Pelodiscus sinensis: one gene and its partner. The protein of the gene in region 2 interacts with the protein of the main gene of each other region in a pairwise test. Links are inferred from orthologs where the notes say so. Each region holds a gene or a part of one and is shown on either strand. Other genes may lie near its edges. The genes, in order: SLC38A7 and SAR1A.

Region 1 (10,130 bases), on a different chromosome or scaffold from region 2:
ACAAAACAATTATAATTATCTTGCAATTTTAGAGTCAAAGTGAACAAGTGGAATCAGTTGCGTCAATTGAGTAAACGTGATTTAATTAATGATGACCCATCAATCTCATTTACTATACTTGCAGTTGATTCAGAAAAATTCAGAAAGCTGATTCTCAATTATTTTAATCAGATTTCTGTGCATTATAGCAGTTATGTTGAAAGAAAACAAGGTGCCTTTTAGTTGTTATATCAAAGTACTGAATTGCATCTTTTCAAATGCTAATATAATGAAATGCTTGCACTCCAGAAAAAAACATTTAGCTCTTTCCCATGTAATGTAATGCAGCATTATTGTTTCAACTACTGATTAATTCAACAGAGGACATCAAAGTTATTTGCATAAACATTAAAGCAAAGGGGCTACCATTTTGTACGTTTCCACAAACTTGGTCAAACATAGTTGGCAAACCTCTGACGGAATTTTGGAATTAAAAATAGAAAGGAAAATGAAGATATTCCAGCCACAGAGGGAATGTTCTCCAAATTCCTTGAAAAAGCAAGCCACTCCCTTGCCATATGAGTCTCACTGCAAGTCTAAAGACTGATTCATCTAATTGTAGAATAAGATCATAATCTTTAAATAGTGTGTGAGTCCTCCAGTGACACTCACTATGTTGTATATTTTAGAAATCAGAGACCAACCAGAGCAGTCTTAGTGTAGGCTGCTACGTATGTTTAAATACAGGGCCATCCGGGGCATATGCAGCTACATAGTGTACCATTACATTTGGGTCACTAGGTGCCCCAAATTTAGTAATGCCTTAGGCTGTGTATGCCTAGGAACAGTCATCCCCCTCCCCATGGGCTCAGTGACAGGGTTCTGGCAGCTCCCGCCAGCCCCAGCTCCTGGCTGCTTCTCCCTCCCCACTACATGGGCTGCACCTAGCCCCCACTTACCAGGTGGCAGTGAGCAGCAGGGTGAGCATAGGTCCAAGGACTCAAGAGAAGCTGAGGGTGGCCACACAGCTGGAGAGAAGCAGTGGTTTACCGTTCTCTCTGGCCAGCTATGCGGCCGTCCTATGCTCCGCCTGAGTTCTCCTCCAGCCCATGGTCCATGCCAGCCACCTGCTGCCCTGAGATGCAAGTGAGCGTCCCTCCCTGCCCTGCTCAGGGGTTGCCCACTCTCCCAGACCAGCCAGATTTGCAACAGACTGGTTGATCATTGCCTTTGGTTGCTTTTTTTACATGCACATTGTGGCTGTGTCTACACTGGGCCACTTATTCCGGAAAATCAGCCGCTTTTCCGGAATAAGCTGCGAGCTGTCTACACTGGCCCTTGAATTTCTGGAAAAGCAACGACGCTCTACTGTACAAAATCAGCCGCTATCCCGGAAAAGCTACGCTGCTCCCGCTCGGGCATAAGTCCTTATTCCGGAACACTGTTCCGGAAAAGGGCCAGTGTAGACAGCCCAGTAGTCTTTTCCGGAAAAAAGCCCCGATCGCGAAAATGACAATCGGGGCTCTTTTCCGGAAAAGCACGTCTACATTGGCCACAGATGCTTTTCCGGAAAAAGGGCTTTTCCGGAAAACATCCTGCCAATGTAGACGCTCCTTTTCCGGAAATACTTATAACGGAAAACTGTTCTGTTTTAAGCACTTCCGGAAATTCCTGCCAGTGTAGACACAGCCTGTATGTTTACTAACCACGGAAATGGGAATAAACTATTTGCCAGAAAAAAGTTGGCCAAGGAATGAAGCTTTGACACCCCCCCCCCCCCCAGGAGCCGCCTGAGGTGAGCAGAGTCCAGCTGAGCCAGAATCCCAAGCCCCTGCCCCCGTCAAGAACCCCTCTTCCACCCCAAGCCCCTGTCCTAGCCCGGAACCCCTTGCACCCAAACTCCCTTGCAGAGCCTGTCCCCTGACCCCTCCTCCACCCCAACTGCCTGCCCCAGGCTCAGCCTAGAGCCCCCCTCACACGCCAAATCCCTTCCCCCAAGCCCGGAGCCTGCGCCCCGTTCGGTCCCGTTGCCGGGGTCGGCCCGCCCAGGGGGCCTCGGCGCGGGGAGCCGGGACTCGGCCACGCACCCCGACCTGGGGGGGGGGCGGCGATGAAGCCGCCCCGCCCGCCGCCTGCTCCTGGGCCTCCCGGCCCCACCCCAGCACCCGCAAGCGGAGGCTCCCTCCGGGCCACGGCCCCCGCCTAACGGCTCCGCCCTCCGCAGCCGGACGAAGCGCTCGGGGGACCCCGCTCTCCCCGGGCCCTGCCCCCAGGCTGCGGCCGCTCCTCACCTTCTCCCCGCGGTCAGAGGCGGCGCCCGGCACCCCGCTCCCTCCGGCCTCATCCCGCGGGGCGCGCTCAGGGCCAGGCCGGTGGCTCCAGGCGCCTCCCGGGGACGGGTCGCTAGGCCCGTCTCCATGGCGACAGCTACGGCGCGGCGCAAGGACCAAAGCGCGCAGTCGATGGGATGGCTCCGTGCAGGCGGCGCGCGCCGGGCCTTGTTACAGGCGGGGCAGCGTCACTTGCTCCCCCTCCACCAGTTTCACCAGGGCTGAGCCCCGCCCCCCAGAGACCCTCCCCACTGCTCTGAGACCCCCACCCACCTTAGCCCCAAGACCCTGACCCACTGCCCGGAGACCCCCACTGCCCCGCACCCTGAGATCCCCACTCTGCTCAGCCTGACCCACTGCCCCTACAGCCAGTGCCCCCCCCAGAGACCCTCCCCACTGCTCTGAGACCCCCACCCACCTTAGCCCCAAGACCCTGACCCACTGCCCGGAGACCCCCACTGCCCCGCACCCTGAGATCCCCACTCTGCTCAGCCTGACCCACTGCCCCTACAGCCAGTGCCCCCCCCAGAGACCCTCCCCACTGCTCTGAGACCCCCACCCACCTTAGCCCCAAGACCCTGACCCACTGCCCGGAGACCCCCACTGCCCCGCACCCTGAGATCCCCACTCTGCTCAGCCTGACCCACTGCCCCTACAGCCAGTGCCCCCCCCAGAGACCCTCCCCACTGCTCTGAGACCCCCACCCACCTTAGCCCCAAGACCCTGACCCACTGCCCGGAGACCCCCACTGCCCCGCACCCTGAGATCCCCACTCTGCTCAGCCTGACCCACTGCCTCTACAGCCAGTGCCCCCACTCCCTCTACTCGCTGAGACCCCTCACCCATGACTCGCTGCCCAACATCCCCTCCACCCCAACCCGCAGCCCCTCCACCCCTGACTTCACCACCTCCCGCACCCTCTGCCTCTGCCTACCAACACCCCCACATCCCTACCTTCCTGAAAAGCTCCCCCTTTGCCCCTACTTTGATGCCTGCTAGGATCTCTAAATCTGTGAATCTGTATTCAGGCAAGCAAATAACAGTTGTTTCCTTGAAGCTGATAGATAGCTTTCAAAATGGTTTCCTCCAAGAACTTCTATACTGGTACAATTGCCTCCATACCAGTGATGTACTGTTTTAAGGCTTTCTGTTCCCGAACGGATTTGATGAAACCAAATGAAAACTCTGTGTGTGGACCAGCCCTAAGGGATTTTGTTCAATTTTTAGCCACCAGCTGCGTGTTTTCAAACTGTCTGATCCCTTGCAAATTATTAACAAGGTAGGTATTCTGGAGAGCAAACAGAAGTGCTGGGAAAAGGCCTCCTGTACATGACTTGATGGCCAGAGGAGGCAGTTTGAGGGGGGAGATTGTTACAGAATACCAGCCTCTGCTGCCTCCAGAGAGATGTTCAGTGATGTGTGAGAGATCTGTGAGGAGAAAACATCAAGGCCATTTACTGTACATACTCACAAAGATAGACACAATTTCCATCCGTGCTTGGAAAGGTTTCAAGACTCCAAACCTCAGAGTGAAACATTCTGAAGGGAATAACAGCTGACAGGATGTGTGTATAGGCAGCTAGTATTATGGGCCCAAGGTGCTCCAGCACCAGGAATCTTCAAGGTTCGGGGCTGGGGTCCATCAAAACTCACTGTCTACCTGCGTTCCCAGCCCCTAGCATCCTCCAGCCCCTCCTGCAACCCTTACCCATCTTCCGGCCTTACCTGCTTCCCCTCTGGTGATTTAAAATGTCTGGAGGTGTTAGCAGCATAGCTGGGTAAGAGCAGCTGTTAGCCACTCGCTTGTCCTGGCTGTCAGCATTTGTGTCCCTGTAGTCGAGACTGGGAAGGCCACCGTAATCCAGTGGCATTTTATATTCTGTGCTGTAACGGATCAAATAAGCTGCCGAGCAACAGAGGATGAGGCCCAGGGCCAAGTGCAACAAAAAAGGGTAGAGCAAAAACCTGAGCGGTGCTGAGCATTGACATCTGCCATAGAAGCCAATGGGCAATGCAGACGCTCAGCACTGAGGTCCTAAATTTGCAAACACAAATCATTTTACAGGCTGCCCCCAACTGGCGACACGATCGGTTCCGGAGATAGTGTTGCAAGTCGGGGGTGTCGTAACTTGAATCCACATTTACGACAGGTGTCGTACGCTGTCATAAATGTGGGGCCAAGGTTGTAAGTTGGGGGATTTCAGCCCGTTCTGCACTTATGGAAAAGGTCATAATTGTGGGAGGTCATAAATTGGGCCATCGCAAAGCGGAGGGCCTCCTGCATTCACATGAGTCATTGCAATAAAGCCAGCGGAGACTTGTGACCAAACTTAAAAGTTTTCTGAAGTTATCGTGCCATTACTTTAAACAAATCTTTCCCTTCCACTCCCCCACCTCATAGACCAGCCTCTACAAAAGGGTTGTTTTTTTTCAGTGGCTCTAGGGGCACATGTATGCCCTCCACCACCAGGCCCCTCTCCACCGCCGCCTGGGCAAAAGCCTCCGAGAAAAGGAGAACACTACCTTCCCATACATTTTGGTGGCCGCCACCATGGCCAAGGACCCTACCACCCTCGCCAATGCCTGCACGTATGTTTTGAGGTGGGGCAAGGCGGGGACCAGGAGGCAGCAGACGCAGGGTGGGGAAGGGGCCCAGGATGGAGCTGGAGGTGAAAGTGGCAGCACGTGGAGGGCGGCAGTGGTCACCTGGGCGTACACTCTGGGGACTGCAGGTGGATCACCCCCACAGCTGGTGGGGGAAACGGCAGGGGAAGGAGGGTGGTGTTTGTCAGTGAGGAGCTGGCCTGCCCTACTTGGCTGGAGACCAACCGGTTAAGTAGTAGTTCTGTAGAAAAGGACCTGGGGGTTACAGTGGATGAGAAGCTGGATATGAGTCAACAGTGTGCCCTTGTAGCCAAGAAGGCTAATGGCATATTAGGGTGCATTAAGAGGAGCATTACCAGCAGATCCAGAGATGTCATCATTCCCCTTTATTCGGCTTTGGTGAGGCCGCATCTGGAGTATTGTGTCCAGTTCTGGGCCCCCCACTACAAAAAGGATGTGGACACAATGGAGAGGGTCCAGCAGAGGGCAACCAAAATGATTAGGGGGCTGGAGCATATGACCTATGAGGAGAGGCTGAGAGTCTTGGGTCTGTTTAGTTTGCAGAAGCGAAGAGTGAGGGGGGATTTGATAGCAGCCTTCAACTTTCTGAAGGGAGGTCCCAAAGAGGATGGAGAGAGGCTGTTCTCAGTAGTGACAGATGGCAGATCAAGGAGCAATGGTCTCAAGTTGTGGTGGGAGAGGTCCAGGTTGGATATTAGGAAAAACTATTTCACTAGGAGGGTGGTGAAGCACTGGAATGGGTTCCCTAGGGAAGTTGTGGAGTCTCCATCCCTAGAGGTGTTTAAGTCTCCGCTTGACAAAGCCCTGGCTGGGCTGATTTAGTTGGAAATGGTCCTGCCTAGAGCAGGGGGCTGGACTTGATGACCTTCTGAGGTCTCTTCCAGTTCTATGATTCTATGATTCTACTTAGTCTCTTCCAAAAAACCTGAGGCTATGAATACAAAGGCTCAGCACACAGCTGTGTGGCAAGATCTGAAACCTGAGTTGCCTTGTTTATCCACCCCCAGCTGGCTTGCAGGAAGCGAGGTGGGGGTGGAAAGCTTGACAATGGTGCTGACAGGGGAACACTGCGGCCGGCCGTGGAATGCAGAAGGAAACCCCAAATCTGGCTGAAGGGCTAACGCTGAGCCACCAAGCAGGAAATGACTCGTGGAGGAGGGACCAGGCCGCTGAGAGTCAGCTGTGGCGGGGAGAGAACTACAGTTCCCAGCGTGCTGTGCGCTGGGCGGCTGCACGTGGGGCTTAATCATCTGGCCCGGGCGCTGGAGCCGGTGCGGAGAAGCAGGAGAGACCGTGGGAGGCTTTTTCGTCCCTTTCCCCAGGTATGAGGACACCGGGGGCTGGTGGATGAATGAGCCGAGCAGCCCCAGAAAGGGCTGCGGTGCCCGTATGAAGGAGCCTCCTTCCCTCCCCCCCCCAGGGGTGGGTTTCCACCCCGGAGCCCTCGCCCAGCTCAGCCCGTCTTCCCACCCCCTGGTAGGCATCAGTGCAGGCGCCCTCAGGCAGTGGCCTTCTCCCCATCGGGCTCTGGAGCAGCTGCAGGATCATCTCCCTGTCGGGGCGGTACAGCCAGGCTGCAAACCCTGCCACCACCCATGCACCTGCATGCTTCGGTGGCTGCGTCCCTGTGACACCTCTGCTGCCGTGGGGGCTGTGGCCCCTTGCCGTCCTGGTACCCACGGAGGGCGTGGTGCAGGCTCTGTGCTCGCCCTTCCCTGTTCTTTTGTCCCCTTGCTGTATGCTAGCGGGGCTGCCCTTTCTCCAGCCAGCATGCAAACGGCGGGTTGTTTTTTTGCCTGGCTGGCGTTTTCCTACTGTAGGCTGTGTATGACTGGGCTCTGGTGACTGTCAGCAGTGGCTCTCTCCTGGGTTATCACGTCCCTGTTGTCAGCACGTTTCAGGGTTAAACTCCTCCACAAGGAAGTTTCTGTGGGTCGGGTAGTTCTGCTTAATGGAGTCACAGGAATCCTCCATTGAAAGCAGACGGCTAGTCCCAGAAACTTGATTGTCCTGGCTGTAAGCAGATGCCACCTGCTTTGTAGGAAGGACTGATCCTCTCTAACACGCCGGATGGGCTGTGCCATCTTGCCTGAGGGGTTAGTGGGGAAGAAGTCGGGAATGGAGAACATTTATTCCTGACCTGCGGTCTGCCGGCTTGTGTATTGCAGTAGGCAAGGCAAAGGCAATCTGCTGGGCTCCTTCCTTCAGCTCAGTAGAAACCCTCTTCTCTGCACCCTGCTACCATGATTCTTGCAAGGACTGGCCCTGGGGGAAAACTTCCTCCAAACCTTAAATGGCAATACGTTCTATACTAATCATAAAGATTGACTGAGAGCCTTCTCACAACTTCCTAGTTACCCTACAAGTGTGGGTCTTGTCCGGGGATGTGTCTGGTTTAATAAGCTTCAGAAGAAAAGTATTCCTCTCAGCACTGCCCTGGATCTGTGAGTTTCACTGGTTAACCATGTCCTGGGATAGAAGTTACTTATGAGCTTGTCCTCAATCAGCTGTCTCACCCTGATCTGCTTAACAGTCACAGGGATGAGATGTTTGAAATAGCTCTCAGTTGCGTGAGGAGGCACTTCCTCTATGCTGAGTGTAGTGTTCCTAGACAGCCACTTTCCTTGTTAACAGAAAAACGGTGCGGAGGACGTAAAGATCAACTCTCAGCTTCCTCCAGGCCTGGCTGCTCTTTAGGCTCCTCCCACAGGACTGCTCAGCCCATACCCAGGATCCTCTTTCCCTGTAGACCCCTTCCCAACTTGCATATACTAGACATCTGCCTTAGTATTTAACCCCATCCCTGAAAGATCTATAGCCGCTCACAGGGCTGAGATGAAATACTTCTGGCTTGCTAATTTGATGGTTGAGCTTTGTTTCCTCTAATCCTGTGCTATAATGCTGATGCTGCAGGTTGAGCTGCACATAATGTAGGACCCTGGAGTGACAGAGCTGGAAGCTTATTTTAGTAATAGTTGGGTGTTCGTTGATGATCCCAAGACAAAGCAAACTCCAGTTTGCTCCTCGCTCCTCTCTGTGTTCCCTAGTTCCTGAACAGCCCAAAAATAAGCTGAATAAATGCAGTGTAGCACTCTGAAGTGCACCCATTGTTACTTTTTTGTGGTAGAAGTAGTGGTGTATCACTTGCCTCATACTGTAAAGGTTAATCTGGTAAGTGTGTGGGGCCGATGAAGGACAGTATAAAGATACCATGTGAAGCCCTCTTTGCAGTCAGAGATAAAAATTCTTTGTTATTCCTAAAATCTTTGGAAACCTCTTTTTGAAGCTGATGAAATTTCATAAATAGATCTATTGTTATGGTGATCACACAAGGTAAATTAGCGTTCCTTTTTCTAAAAGCTATGAACGTGGTCATGAATGCACTAAACCTCTGTGACCAATTAATTTAAAATAATGTCTTTATTTCATTGAGTTAATACGTAGTAATCGGGAAGGATGACTTTATGAAGGCTTAAGAGTATGTTTAAAATATAAAGTTATTTTAGAAATCCTGATGAAGAAAATGTAAATCAGAGATGAGCTGAATCATGAATTCCATTAACAATTAACGTTGTATTCAGCAGGACAGCTGACTTGCTCTTACTACAAAGTGTTTGCAGATAAATCTCTGACAAGCTTCAGGGTATTTAAAAAAAAAAAAAATCTGTGACTGACATATTTTATTCCCAAATTGAGTGCTTTTAATTAAATGCCTTCTGCACTTTCCATCTTCACCATCTGACATGCAGTGAAAACCGTGCTCTGTTTTTTTTAAAAAGGAAATTGTCGAAGAGCTGTGGGTTTTGTTTTGTTTTTCAAATTTGCTTTGTTTGGGTTTAGAGATTTGGGTGGAAGGAAGGGGGAGTGAAGAGAAAAGGGAGATAGTCGGTGGGGAGGGGGTGGATTTTCTGAACTGTAGACCTAGGAGCCCTAGAAGTGAATTGAGGCCTCTTTGTGCTGGGTGCTGTACAAACACAGACCAGAAAGATGCTCTCTGCCCCAAGGAGCTTACAGTCTCATCTCTTGCCTCTGTCTTTGGCATCTCCCCTTTGAGCACGGGCAATAGCTCTTAGCATAAGGGGAGGATTTCATAGATTTGTGCATCTCTGAGCTCCAGAGCTGAGGGTCTTCCACAAAAGTTGGGATCTCCAAACTAGCAATGACTTAGCGGTGTCCTTTTGGGATGAGTGTGGAAAGCTGATGCATGGAGAGTCAAGTGCCCCTCCGGATTTCTTCTTCACTTGCCAGGGGTGAGGGAAAGAATCTCACAGCTCCCTGAAATGCTCGGACCCTGACCTCGACCCTGGGGCTCGGTGGGGAACGGAAGGGGTGGGACCAGCCATTGCCAGGGAGAGCAGCTGAACGCGTCCTAGCAGAGGGACAGACCTCACCTTCCCGTACCCACACCCTGCAGGTAACTGGTGGGGCAGGGCAAGCCTGGTAGCCCCAAGCTGGATGCGGGGCAGGGAAGGTGCTGAGCAGAGGAGACACACGGGGCCCCCCTCTTAGATTCTGGCCCGCCCAGGATGGGAAAGGGTGAGTTGCCTGTGGGAGAGGTGGCTGTCACCGCCCCCACGCGTTCAGAGGCGCTCCCTCCGCTCAGCATGACATGAGCAGACAGACCCCGCTGGCCTCTCGTCCGGGCTTGCCCTGAACTTTGTCCCAAAGGCACACAAGGGCTTTTGCTGCGTTTGTAGAAACGTGGGGTGGAAATAAGGAAGCTGGCTTTGAAATGCAGTGTTTGAATGAGTTGTCATCAAGAGGCCGCGGCTTCACAGCCCTGTGGCTTGACGCTCTGGTGAGTCGCGTGACCGGTGCAGTGTAGCTTCCTCCGTGCACCCACCCGCCACCCTGCCTGGTCTCTGACCGAGGGGGGGGCAATTGTTCGGAGATGGAGAGGCGCTCTCTGGCCGTCCAACCCCAGGCTCTGCCAGCTGAGACAAAGGTGACCAGTTGCGATGACGTCCAAAAATCCAGCTCGCGCAAGCCAAGAGCTGCACCACGACTCCTAGCTGACCGTGGATCTGGGCTGTCCAGCTCAGGCCGGAAGAATCGGAGGTCCCAGTGCGAGTTCCTGCTCCTCACAACACACCCGTGATGCAATGTCCATGTCGATGAGAGGTTACGTTGTGCAATAGCTGTTAGGACAGAAGAGGAGTGTTGGTCCAGCAGGTTTATTTTTGCATCCAGTTGGTG
Region 2 (10,119 bases):
GCCTTACCTGGCCTGGGGGCAGAGGAGCAGCAGGGCCTCCATGGACCAGATTAACTCGCTTGGCGGACAGATCCAGCTGTCAGAGTTCCTTTTGCCCACTTCTGCTTTGCACCCTATATTTTTATGATTCAATATTTAACTTGTAAACCAGAAGGACTAGACTTAGTTATGCACTCTCTTCCTGAGTAGGGATGTTAAATTGCAGGTAACTGACTAATCGAATAACCTATGCATTCTGCATTGACTAGATGACCCGTTGATAGGGCGCCTCCACCTCTGAAGTGTAGAAACAGCCACAGGGCCGTTGCTACACTTTAAAGGCAAACAGGCCATGTGGAGCCCAGGGTCAGTGGATCTCCACCAACACTGCCACTTTGAAATGCCGGGAGGAGCCTGATGACAGGCTTCCGTGGCAGTGCTGCAAGGAGCCTCGGATCAGCTGGGGATTCCCCAACTGATCCCAAACTGCGTGCGGCGCTGCCACTTTGAAATGCTTTGGAGCCCAGCCTCTTGCAGTCCAAGATCAGCTGGGGAGTCCCCAGATGATCCCGGGCTCCACCAGTGCTGCTGCTCTGAAGCACCGGGAGGAGCCTGACGCCGGGCTTCCATGGTGGCATTTCAAAGTGGTAGTGCCAGGCTCCACGCAGGACTGCCGCTTTGTAGTACCTCCTTCTTCTCTCTCCCCCCATCCCCGCCTCTTTCTGATAATGGCAGCAAGGGGGAAGGGGAGAAGACTAGTTGACAAGCTTATCGACTATCTGATAAGCATTTGCATGAGCATAACCTAACTTCCGTGCCTCCAATTTTGTCTAGAAAACTCAGACAAATAGCCATGCAGACAATCAAAAAATTAGATGTCTCAAAAGTTTCATGGAAGGAGAGAGTATCTTCATTATAGACTGCATCAGATTACTACACAGTAGAAGAACATGCAGGGTTCACCTAGAAAAAGGAAAGGAACATTTTATGGATGTTTCATTTTCAAAAATCTAAGTAATAAGAGAAGCTAGGCCCACGTCGAATTTAAAAAAAAAAGTAAGTATAAATTGTACTACTCCAATATTTCACCAATTTTTTTGTTATTATAAAACAGGAGAGAAAATCTAATGTACTATTAAGTTCAGGAAGAGAGTTAACTGTACTATAAAAGGTGCATCTGTTTAAACTTATTTTTTAACGAGATTTTAATCTCATCTAATTAAAAGCAGTGCAAAGGCTTAATGTAGATGCACTCAAGCGAGTGCAAGTCTTATTAAAAAGGGATATTTTATGTCAGTAAGTTAATAAATTGAACTAATTTAAGTAATAATTATGTTTCGGTTTAGCATTTGCACTGATTTAATCAGAATTTAAAATCTTTTTAGTTAAATCAACAATTTATGTTTGTTGGTGAATACACATTTGAAATATTACCTAAAAATTGCAACATGCTGCTGAAGCCATTGTAAATCCATTCAAAAATGAAAGACATGGTTGAAGATTAGTTGCCTGCAAGAAAATAAACATGAGACATTTATCAGTAAAAACTTTATGCCATATCCCAGCAAGATTCAGGCTGTAGTACGAGAGAGGAGTTGACAGGTCCACAAGTAAGTGGTCAATTGACTGGACAAATAATGTTAAGAACAATCAAATATTTTAACACAACATTTTAAAGAACCATAGCAGCAAAAAAAGTAAAACTTCATCGACTCCAACATGTTTACCCTTAGATAGATACACATGACTAATTACACCAACATTACTTAATTGAGTTACTTTATCTCAGAAAAATGTTGATCATCAAGTTAAGAAAGATAGAAAGAAAGACCATGTTGCAGTCATAAAGGTAGACTGCCACCTACATCAGGGTATGCTTGCTATGATTTGACAGTATTTGACTGTGATAAAAAAAATAGGTGGTTATTGGAGTGGTCTATTCACAGGTTTACCAAACCAAGTTAATGGTATACTTGCCTCTGCACCAAAAGGCAGAATTCATATTTGTTGTCTAAATGTTATTGGAGTTGAAAGAAGGTTATGGTTCCTATTTTGGATGACGTTAAAGATCCCTGAACATTTTCAAACATTTTCACTTTAGATCAACATGCTCTCTTCTAAAGATGGCATTATCAACTGCAGCTATATGTACCAGTGGGCTACGTCTACATTGGCATGATCTTGCGCAAGAACTCTTTTGCGAAAGAGTTCTTGTGCAAAAACTCTTCCAGAAGAAAGCGTCTACACTGGCATGTGCTTTTGCACAAGAGCATCCTTGCCAGTGTAGATGCTCTCTAGCGCAAGAAAGCTCTGATGGCCATTTTAACCATGGGGCTTTCTTGTGCAAGAAATTTATGTTGCCTGTCTACACTGGCCTCTTGCACAAGAACAGTTGCACAAGAGGGCTTCTTCCTGAGCAGGAGCATCAGAGTTCTCACGCAAGAAGCACTGATTTCATACATGAGAACGTCAATGTACTTGCGAAAGAACTCACAGGCAGCAAGTTTTTGCGCAAAAGCGACTGCTTTTGCTCAAGGTCACGGCAATCTAGACACAGCCGTGGAGTTGATGTACTAACAGCCATTCCAGGACATATCCCACTAATGTCTATGTTAACATATAGCTGCTCATTTTTATCTATTTCACTCTTTTAGCTGCTTCCTGAATTATATGTCTGTACCTGCTTCTTTTAGCTATCATGCTCATTACCACACTCTCTTTGGTGCAGTAATAAATTGGATCCGTTTTGGTCACACAATGTAAATAGTTTCTACATATCTGGAAAATCAGAATTCCATTAGACAAGGGGTTCTCACTGCGACCTCCTCCTGACCTCAGAAAGTACTACATAACCATGGGGGAGAGGGGAACCAAGGCCTGAGCCTGCCCAACCCTGGTGTCTTGGAAGAGATGTGCGCATATGTGGGAGGGGGAGCGGGGCGGAACCGAAGCTGAAGCTCAAGTGCTGCAACCCCACCACCCAGAGCTGAAGCCCTTGAGATTGGGCTTCAGCTCCACACTTGGGGCCTCAGCAAATCTAATGGCTGCCTTGGCAACCCCATAATGGGATTGCTACCCAATCTGAGAATCCCCGCATTAGATCAATCTTTATAAAAGTATGGTTGACTCTGAAGTACATAAAAAGTTCACCCTCACATTTCAGTAGCACTCAGAATGAAAGTGAAACACAAATCAGATCCCCAGTCTAGGTTTTATCTCTCCAAAGCTACAATGCAAAACGATCCTTAGGAAAAGATCAAGTATCACAAGGGGACCTGCAAGTTAACCACCCATCCATAATACTTTCATTTGGTTGTCTTTAGTCCAAAGTGGGGCTTGTAAGTCAGCAGTGATTTTTAAGTGCCAATCACAGGAGGAGCATTTTGAAGTTTCAGCTAGTACTGTTTAGGAATGTAAAATTCCAGTTAATCAGTTGACTGGTTAAACATTAGGTTGACATAATATTTAACTGGTTATCTGACTAAGCAGAATCCCAGCTGGGGAATGCTCCAACCTGGCTGGAGCAGCCCTCAGCCCACTGGGCTCCAGCCCCAACCTCATGCTAGAGTTGGCTGTTGGCTCACAGCCCTGCATTGGGGGCTTCTGCTAGAGCAGTCCTTGACTGCAAGGTGCCTGGGCTCCCTGCAGAGAGAGGCTGCTCCGGACTCAAGATCAGCCCATCTGTGGCAGGGAGGGAGAGGGGGGGAGGGGAGGGAGGGAGCTGCTGCAGCCCCCACCAGTTACCTGGAACCAGTAAGCATTATCCATTTAGGGAGATGCTTACTGGTTACCTTTCACATGCCTAGTACTGTTGCCATAAGTAATGTTGTGGCTCAAGGTTAGCCCATCTTACTGACAGTGCCTCAAAAATTAAAGCAACTGCAGGAGGGGCAAATTCTCACATAACTAAATGTAACACAACAAACATAATTCTGAATCACAGGTGCCTGAAGAGGATGTAGAAATCCTGCGTGAAGAAACACTAAATGGAGATGGGGTGAAGTACCTGCCACGGGGGCAAAGCTCCCCGGGGCGCCTGCCCGTGTACTCGTCCGCGCCCAGGTCCCTGATTCAAAGGCCCCATGTCCTGGACTGACTGTGAAGGTCCGCCCGCCGCGTGACAGCTCCAGGACACCGGCGGGAGCGGAAACCCGCTGCCCTAGACCCGCAGGCCCAGGCTAAGTGAGGGGGGCCCCGACAGCGTACGTGGAAGGGAGCCGGACATCAGCCCCACAGCAGGTCTGTTTTCCCCTGCCCCCCCCCCATCCTACGGCAGAGCAGCCCGCCCCGGCGTCACCCCTCCCCCCCGCGTAGCGGCTCCCACCCAAACCGACTGCGTGTCACTCGGCTCCCCTCCCCCACCGAACCAGCCCACGGCCCAGCACCCCCTCCACTAGCCCCGGCCAGCTGGCCGCCCCTCACCTCCCCGCGCAGCAGCAGCACCCGCCTCGCCCCTCTATGGCCGACCTGGGCCGCGATCCCTCCACAGGCGTCGGTCCTCACTCACTTACTCGGAGTCGGCAACCGCCAGCTACACGCCGGAAATACGTAGCACTTCTTCGCTCGGCTACTTCCGGGGATGGGTCCGCCGCGCTGGCTAGCGCGCTGCGTGCGGTTACGGCGCGGTGACGTGTCACGGTGCTGGGCGCAGGTTTTAGCCCCTCCCCTGATGCTTCGGGGCTGGGCGTCAGAGGCCGGCTCCGGCAGCAGAGGGCGCAGGCGCGCAGGGGTGTCCTGGCAGCGGGGTGGGTCAGCGCTGCCGCTGGGGGCAGCTGAGCTCCAGGCTGCCCTTTGAGTCGCTAAGCCCGGGGCTGCCTGGGACATGGGCCAGGTGCCGCGAAGAAAACTGAAACCCCCATTTTTTGCGCCTCGTTGGGGTTTCTGCCATGCAAACGTGAAATTGTGGGCTACTGCTCAGGACTCGCTACCTGGTCCAGGGGCTGCGAATGCTCAGGGACGGGGTCCCTGCTCCAGAACACTCACAACGCGCTCCCTCTTCTGACACCTGCTCCAGGGGTTGCACATTCGGAGGGATGGGTTCTGTGGTCGAAAACACTCACCCGTTGCTCCTTGTACCGCATCTTCCCCCACCCCCTATAGTTTGAGGCCGGGCTCCCCCGTGCACTAACCTGCTGGTGGAGATGGAGGAGGGTTGGGCTTGGAGCAGAGAGGCAGGAAGGAGGCTCCAGCTGCCGGTGGCAGGCGGAGGAGGAGCACGTGAGCTGAGGGATGATGGGGAGCAGAATGGGATTAAATTGACGCCTCCCTAGCATGGTGCCCAGGGGCAACTGATCTTTCCGGCCCCCTTGCTATGCCACTGTCCCCCCTCCTGCAGATCTGTCATCTTATTCATGTGCTAGCTCTGAGAAGGCCATCCCATGCATCTGCAGTTAGTGTCTCTGGCACCTGCTTCTCGGTGGTGTCTCAGTGCTGCCACATTCACCTCCAAAGAGGGGGCTTCCCAAAGCAGGCCCTTGCTGCTGACCCCCACAGCATCCACAGGTCCAGTCTTCTTTCAATGGGCCCACTTCCCAGGGCTCATTGATCTTGGCTTCCATCCCCTCTCCAACCTTCGCAACTGCCCAGAGGTGCTCACCTTCTGCCTTATACAGTCCCACCTCATTCACCCCACAGGGACAGTCTCTGCCTCACTTGTCCTAGGGACTATTCTACCAAGACATAATACAAAGTTTTCATGTAAAAGGACTCAATACAAAGCTAAAAACTTCAATGAGAGAATGATTAATACAGAGATGTGTCTATATCTGCTGCAGGGAGACACCTCTGCCTGCCTCCACCACTCTCCCCCAGACTCTACAGCCCCATTGCAAAGCGGGGGAGGGGACGGAAAGAGGCAGAGGCCCATCCAATGGGACTGAAGCAGTCATGAGCAAGCCATGCCCGGGAGCCATTCTCCTGTCCATTGCTGGTGCTGTGTTGCTACAGGCACGCTGAAATGCAGTCACCTCTAGGGTGGGCTGGACAGCTGTTTAACACCTGCAGAAGGTTTCAGGCAGGGGGCAGTGCGGGCTGCCTTCCTGCAGGTCCCCCATCAAAACCACTGAGCCCTTCTGGCTTAAGAAAAGCATACACAGGAGGACTGGAAATTCACCCACCCAGTCTTACGTCCCCTAGGCAGGGAATGAGCCATCTACATTAGGCCCCAGCTGGAGTATCATGTCCGGTTCTGGGCGCCACAGTTCAGGAAACGTGGAGAAACTGGAGAAAGTCCAGAGAAGATCAACACAAATAATGAGAAGTCTAGAGAACATGAGATATGAGGCAAGGCTGAAGGAATTGGCCTTGTTTACCATGGAAAAGAGAAGACCGAAAAGGGACATGAGAGCAGCTTTCAAGTATCTAAAAGAGTATCATAAGGAGGAGGAAGAAAAATTGTTCTCCTTGGCCTCTGAGGTTAGGAAGAGAAGCAATGGGCTTAAATTGCAGCAAGGGAGGTTTAGGTTGGACATTAGGAAAAAATTCCTGCCTGTCAGGGTGGTTAAGCACTGGATTAAATTGATTAGGGAGATTGCGGAATCTCCATCACTGGAGATATTTAAGACCAGGTTAGACAGACACCTGTCAGGGATGAGCTAGGGCAACTCAACTTTGGAACTACTAAAACTCATCTCAACAGAAGATCATTACACTGACTACTTTTTTGGTTTTGGTTCCCACTCGCCGGCCACGTGTTGATCCCCACATAAACCCAAACTGCACTGCAGGGCGCAAACAAACTGGCCATGGGCAGCATGCAGCCCATGGGCCATGTATTGAGCAGCCCTGGGTGCTTGGTCCTGCTGTGAGGGCAGGGGACTGGACTTGATGATCTCTTGAGGTCCCTTCCAGCTCTAGTGTTCTGTGATACTATACTGCCACATGGGGTTAGACGGAGGCTGGTGCCCTCTAGAAGGGACGGCTCTCCAGAGCCCATCCATACCTCCGTGAGTCAGCCCGTGCCCCCTGCCGTGGGACTGAACTGGAGCCAGTGCCCCCTAGAAAGGCCCTGTAGCCTCCTGAGCACCAGTGAAATTTTGGTGCTAGGGCCCTCCCTCAAGTGGATTCCTTGCACTGGGGGTCAGGTCAGGCCCTGTTTTCTCCCACACTGTGGGGTGCTAGTGGCGGTGCCTCCAGGCCGGTGTTGCGGCGTGAGGGTAGTGAATTGGCTAGTTCTGATGCATTACCCCCACAGGCCTCAGCAAGCCTCCTGGAACGAGCTGTACCGATAGTTCGGATTAGAGAGCCTAATCCGAACTACCTACTCCGTGCTGCGCTGGCACGGAGTCCGAACTACCGGGGCTTTAAAAATGGTGGCGTCCGGCAAGATGCAAATGAAGCCCGGGATATTTAAATCCTGGGCTTCATTTGCAACTTCGGTTGCCTACATTAACCACCCTAGATCGAACAAGGGTGGCAGTGTAGACATGCCCCAGGCTAACTGCACTACACACACACCCCCATCAAGTGTGTCCAGTATTTTTTCTAAACCTACCTGGTAAGCCTATTGACCAATAAGAATCTGGTGTTGCAGGCCCCCATAATGCAATCTATATTTGCTTCTCAGTTGTCAGTATAGCTTTTATTTTGGTGAGTTTTACACACAGATGCAGGAATGTGGACTTGAGCATCCAAAAGTTTTGCAGCCACTGCTCATCAGCCCAAACCTCCATTGTTGCAAAAGATTTTTGCCTTTGGGAAGGATGTAAGATGACACAATATAATACACATAGGCTGTGTCTAGACTGGCAAGTTTTTCCGCAAAATTATCTGCTTTTGCGGAAAAATTTGCCAGCTGTCTACACTGGCCGCTTGAATTTCCGCAAAAGCACTGACGATCTCATGTAAGATTGTCAGTGCTTTTCCGGAAATACTATGCTGCTCCCGTTCTGGCAAAAGTCTTTTTCCGAAAGACTTGTGTGCAAAAGGGCCAGTGTAGACAGCACAGTACTGTTTTCCGCAAAAAAGCCCCGATCACAAAAATGGCGATCGGGGCTTTTTTGCGGAAAAGCGTGTCTATATTGGCACAGATGCTTTTCCGCAACAAGTGCTTTTGCAGAAAAGCGTCCATGCCCATCTACACGCTCTGTTCCGAAAATGCTTTTAACGGAAAAGTTTTCCGTTAAAAGCATTTCCAGAAAATCATGCCAATCTAGACGCAGCCAAAATGTATACAAGGAAATATTGTTCTACTTGCATATAGTTAGACAGTAGAACTCATTTGCCACATGGTAACTTTTAAACTTAGAATTTAGCAAAATTCAAAGGGGAAGTAGATGTTCAGACAAGTAACAAGAATGTCCAGTTGTAAAAGAGTTTTGAAAGCAATATAAACCCCTATTTATATTTCAGGACTGAAGACAATATTAGGTGATAGGATGAGACGTATGGGGGACAGATTAGCCCACATCTGCCTCTTGTGGGTTTTTTTACACCTTTCTCTACAACAACATCTAATACTTGCAGCCATCAGATACTGGATTACGTGGACCCTAGGTTTGAGCCAGTCTAGCAGTTCCTATATAAATTTGCATAGCACCAACCTGACTCCAGTTTATAATATCAGCCTTTTACATACATGAATGCTGTGTCTAGACCGGCAAGCTTTTCCGCAAAAGCAGCTGCTTCTGCAGAAAAACTTCCCAGCTGTCTACACTGGCCGCTTGAATCTCTGAAAGAACACTGACTTCCTACTGTCTGAAATCAGTGCTTCTTGTGGAAATACTATGTTGCTCCCGTTCGGGCAAAAGTCCTTTTGTGCAAAGCTTTTGCGCAAAAGGGCCAGTGTAGACAGATCGGAGCTTTTTTGTGCAAAAGCGCGTCTGGATTGGCACAGACACTTTTCCGCAAAAACAGAAACACAGATGGAATTCCTAAAACCAATAGCAACTGCTTACTTAAAATTTTGGATGAGCATTAGCTATTAAAATAAAACATAAACACACATGCATTACAAAGTGATAATACAGATAAATTACAACTTGTTCAGAGTAATAGAAATAACATTTTTAAAGTTGCAAAACTATAATTAAAATGGTTTACAAGAAGAGAGTGCAATTCAGGGAATCACAGCAGATAAAAACCAAATTGGAAACCGTTATGAGACTTCACGTAGACATATAGTGAGTGATAAGAGACTCTTTTAAATTCTCAAAATGTGTGACACAGAGTTTGAGGGAATGTAGGTAAATTATTTCACTGCACCAAGTCTCCTGTAGCAGTAAAGTAGCACCAGGGACAGAAGGGAGTTGGTTTGGCGTCACTACCGGGTTTACAATGGTGCCAATGGCACTGTGGCACCAGGCCCACCCACACAGCAGGGTCTGGCCCCTCGCCTCCTATCAGGGCTGGCTATTGTGGACGGGGGGTCCAGGTGTGGGAGAATAGGTCTCTAGAGGGCCTGGGGGGGGTGCTGGGCAGTGAGAGGGTGGGAAGTGCTCGGCAGTGGGGAAGGATTGTTTGTTTTGGGATGCTGGGGAGTAGGGGTTTTTTTGGGGCACTGGGCAGATCTGTGTGTATCAGGGCGCTGGGAAGCGTGGGGGGTCTGTGAGGGGCACTGTGCAGTTGTGTGGTGGGACTATGGGGGCCACTGGGCAGTGAAGGGATCTGTGGGGGGTCACTGGGTGGGTGGGGGTGTGCTGGGCATAGCGATCTGTGGGAGGCACTGGGCATAGTGATTTGTGGGGGTCTCTGGGTGGTATGGCACTGGGTGTAGGGAGTCAAAGGGGTGCTGGGTGGGGGTAGCAGAGTGCGGCATGGGCCCACCCCCAAGGGAAGAAGCATGATGGCAGCAGCGCGGGGCCAGAGGGCCACTGTGTGTCTGGCGGATGCCCGTTTGTAAACAGTGCCCTTGTCCTGAGCTGGGTGGAGCAGGGCTGTCCCTGCGGTAACATGACCCATTGCCTCTGGCCAGCCCCTCACTCTGAGGCAGTGGTCACCAACCAGTAGATTGGGATCTACTGGTAGATCTTGGAGCCTCTGACAGGTGATCCTGGTGGGTTTGGCCAAGAGGCTATCAAGTGCCAGCACTTCAGCTGCCCTTTACCCCCACTGCTGTGCACCTCCTGCCCTTTGGCTAAGCCTTTCCCCTGGGAGTCTCCTGCTTTCTGTGCAGGGCAGAGGAGGGAAAAGAGGGGTGCTGAT

What was found.
Region 1: the proteins of SAR1A (region 2) and SLC38A7 interact in binary tests that used the Homo sapiens proteins (3 or more experiments, as listed by UniProt). The link is inferred for Pelodiscus sinensis from reciprocal best matches to the Homo sapiens genes SAR1A and SLC38A7.

Annotation. Positions count from the first base shown.
Region 1 is NC_134722.1:46,525,180-46,535,309, reverse strand, and holds the start of SLC38A7 (sodium-coupled neutral amino acid transporter 7), read left to right. Parts: upstream 1-6,101; 5' UTR 6,102-6,256; intron 6,257-10,130. UniProt on the Homo sapiens protein: Symporter that selectively cotransports sodium ions and amino acids, such as L-glutamine and L-asparagine from the lysosome into the cytoplasm and may participates in mTORC1 activation. The transport activity requires an acidic lysosomal lumen.
Region 2 is NC_134718.1:32,479,370-32,489,488, reverse strand, and holds the start of SAR1A (small COPII coat GTPase SAR1A), read right to left. Parts: upstream 4,607-10,119; 5' UTR 4,491-4,606; exon of another isoform or gene 4,402-4,490; intron 1,489-4,401; 5' UTR 1,472-1,488; coding exon 1,414-1,471; intron 1-1,413. UniProt on the Homo sapiens protein: Small GTPase that cycles between an active GTP-bound and an inactive GDP-bound state and mainly functions in vesicle-mediated endoplasmic reticulum (ER) to Golgi transport.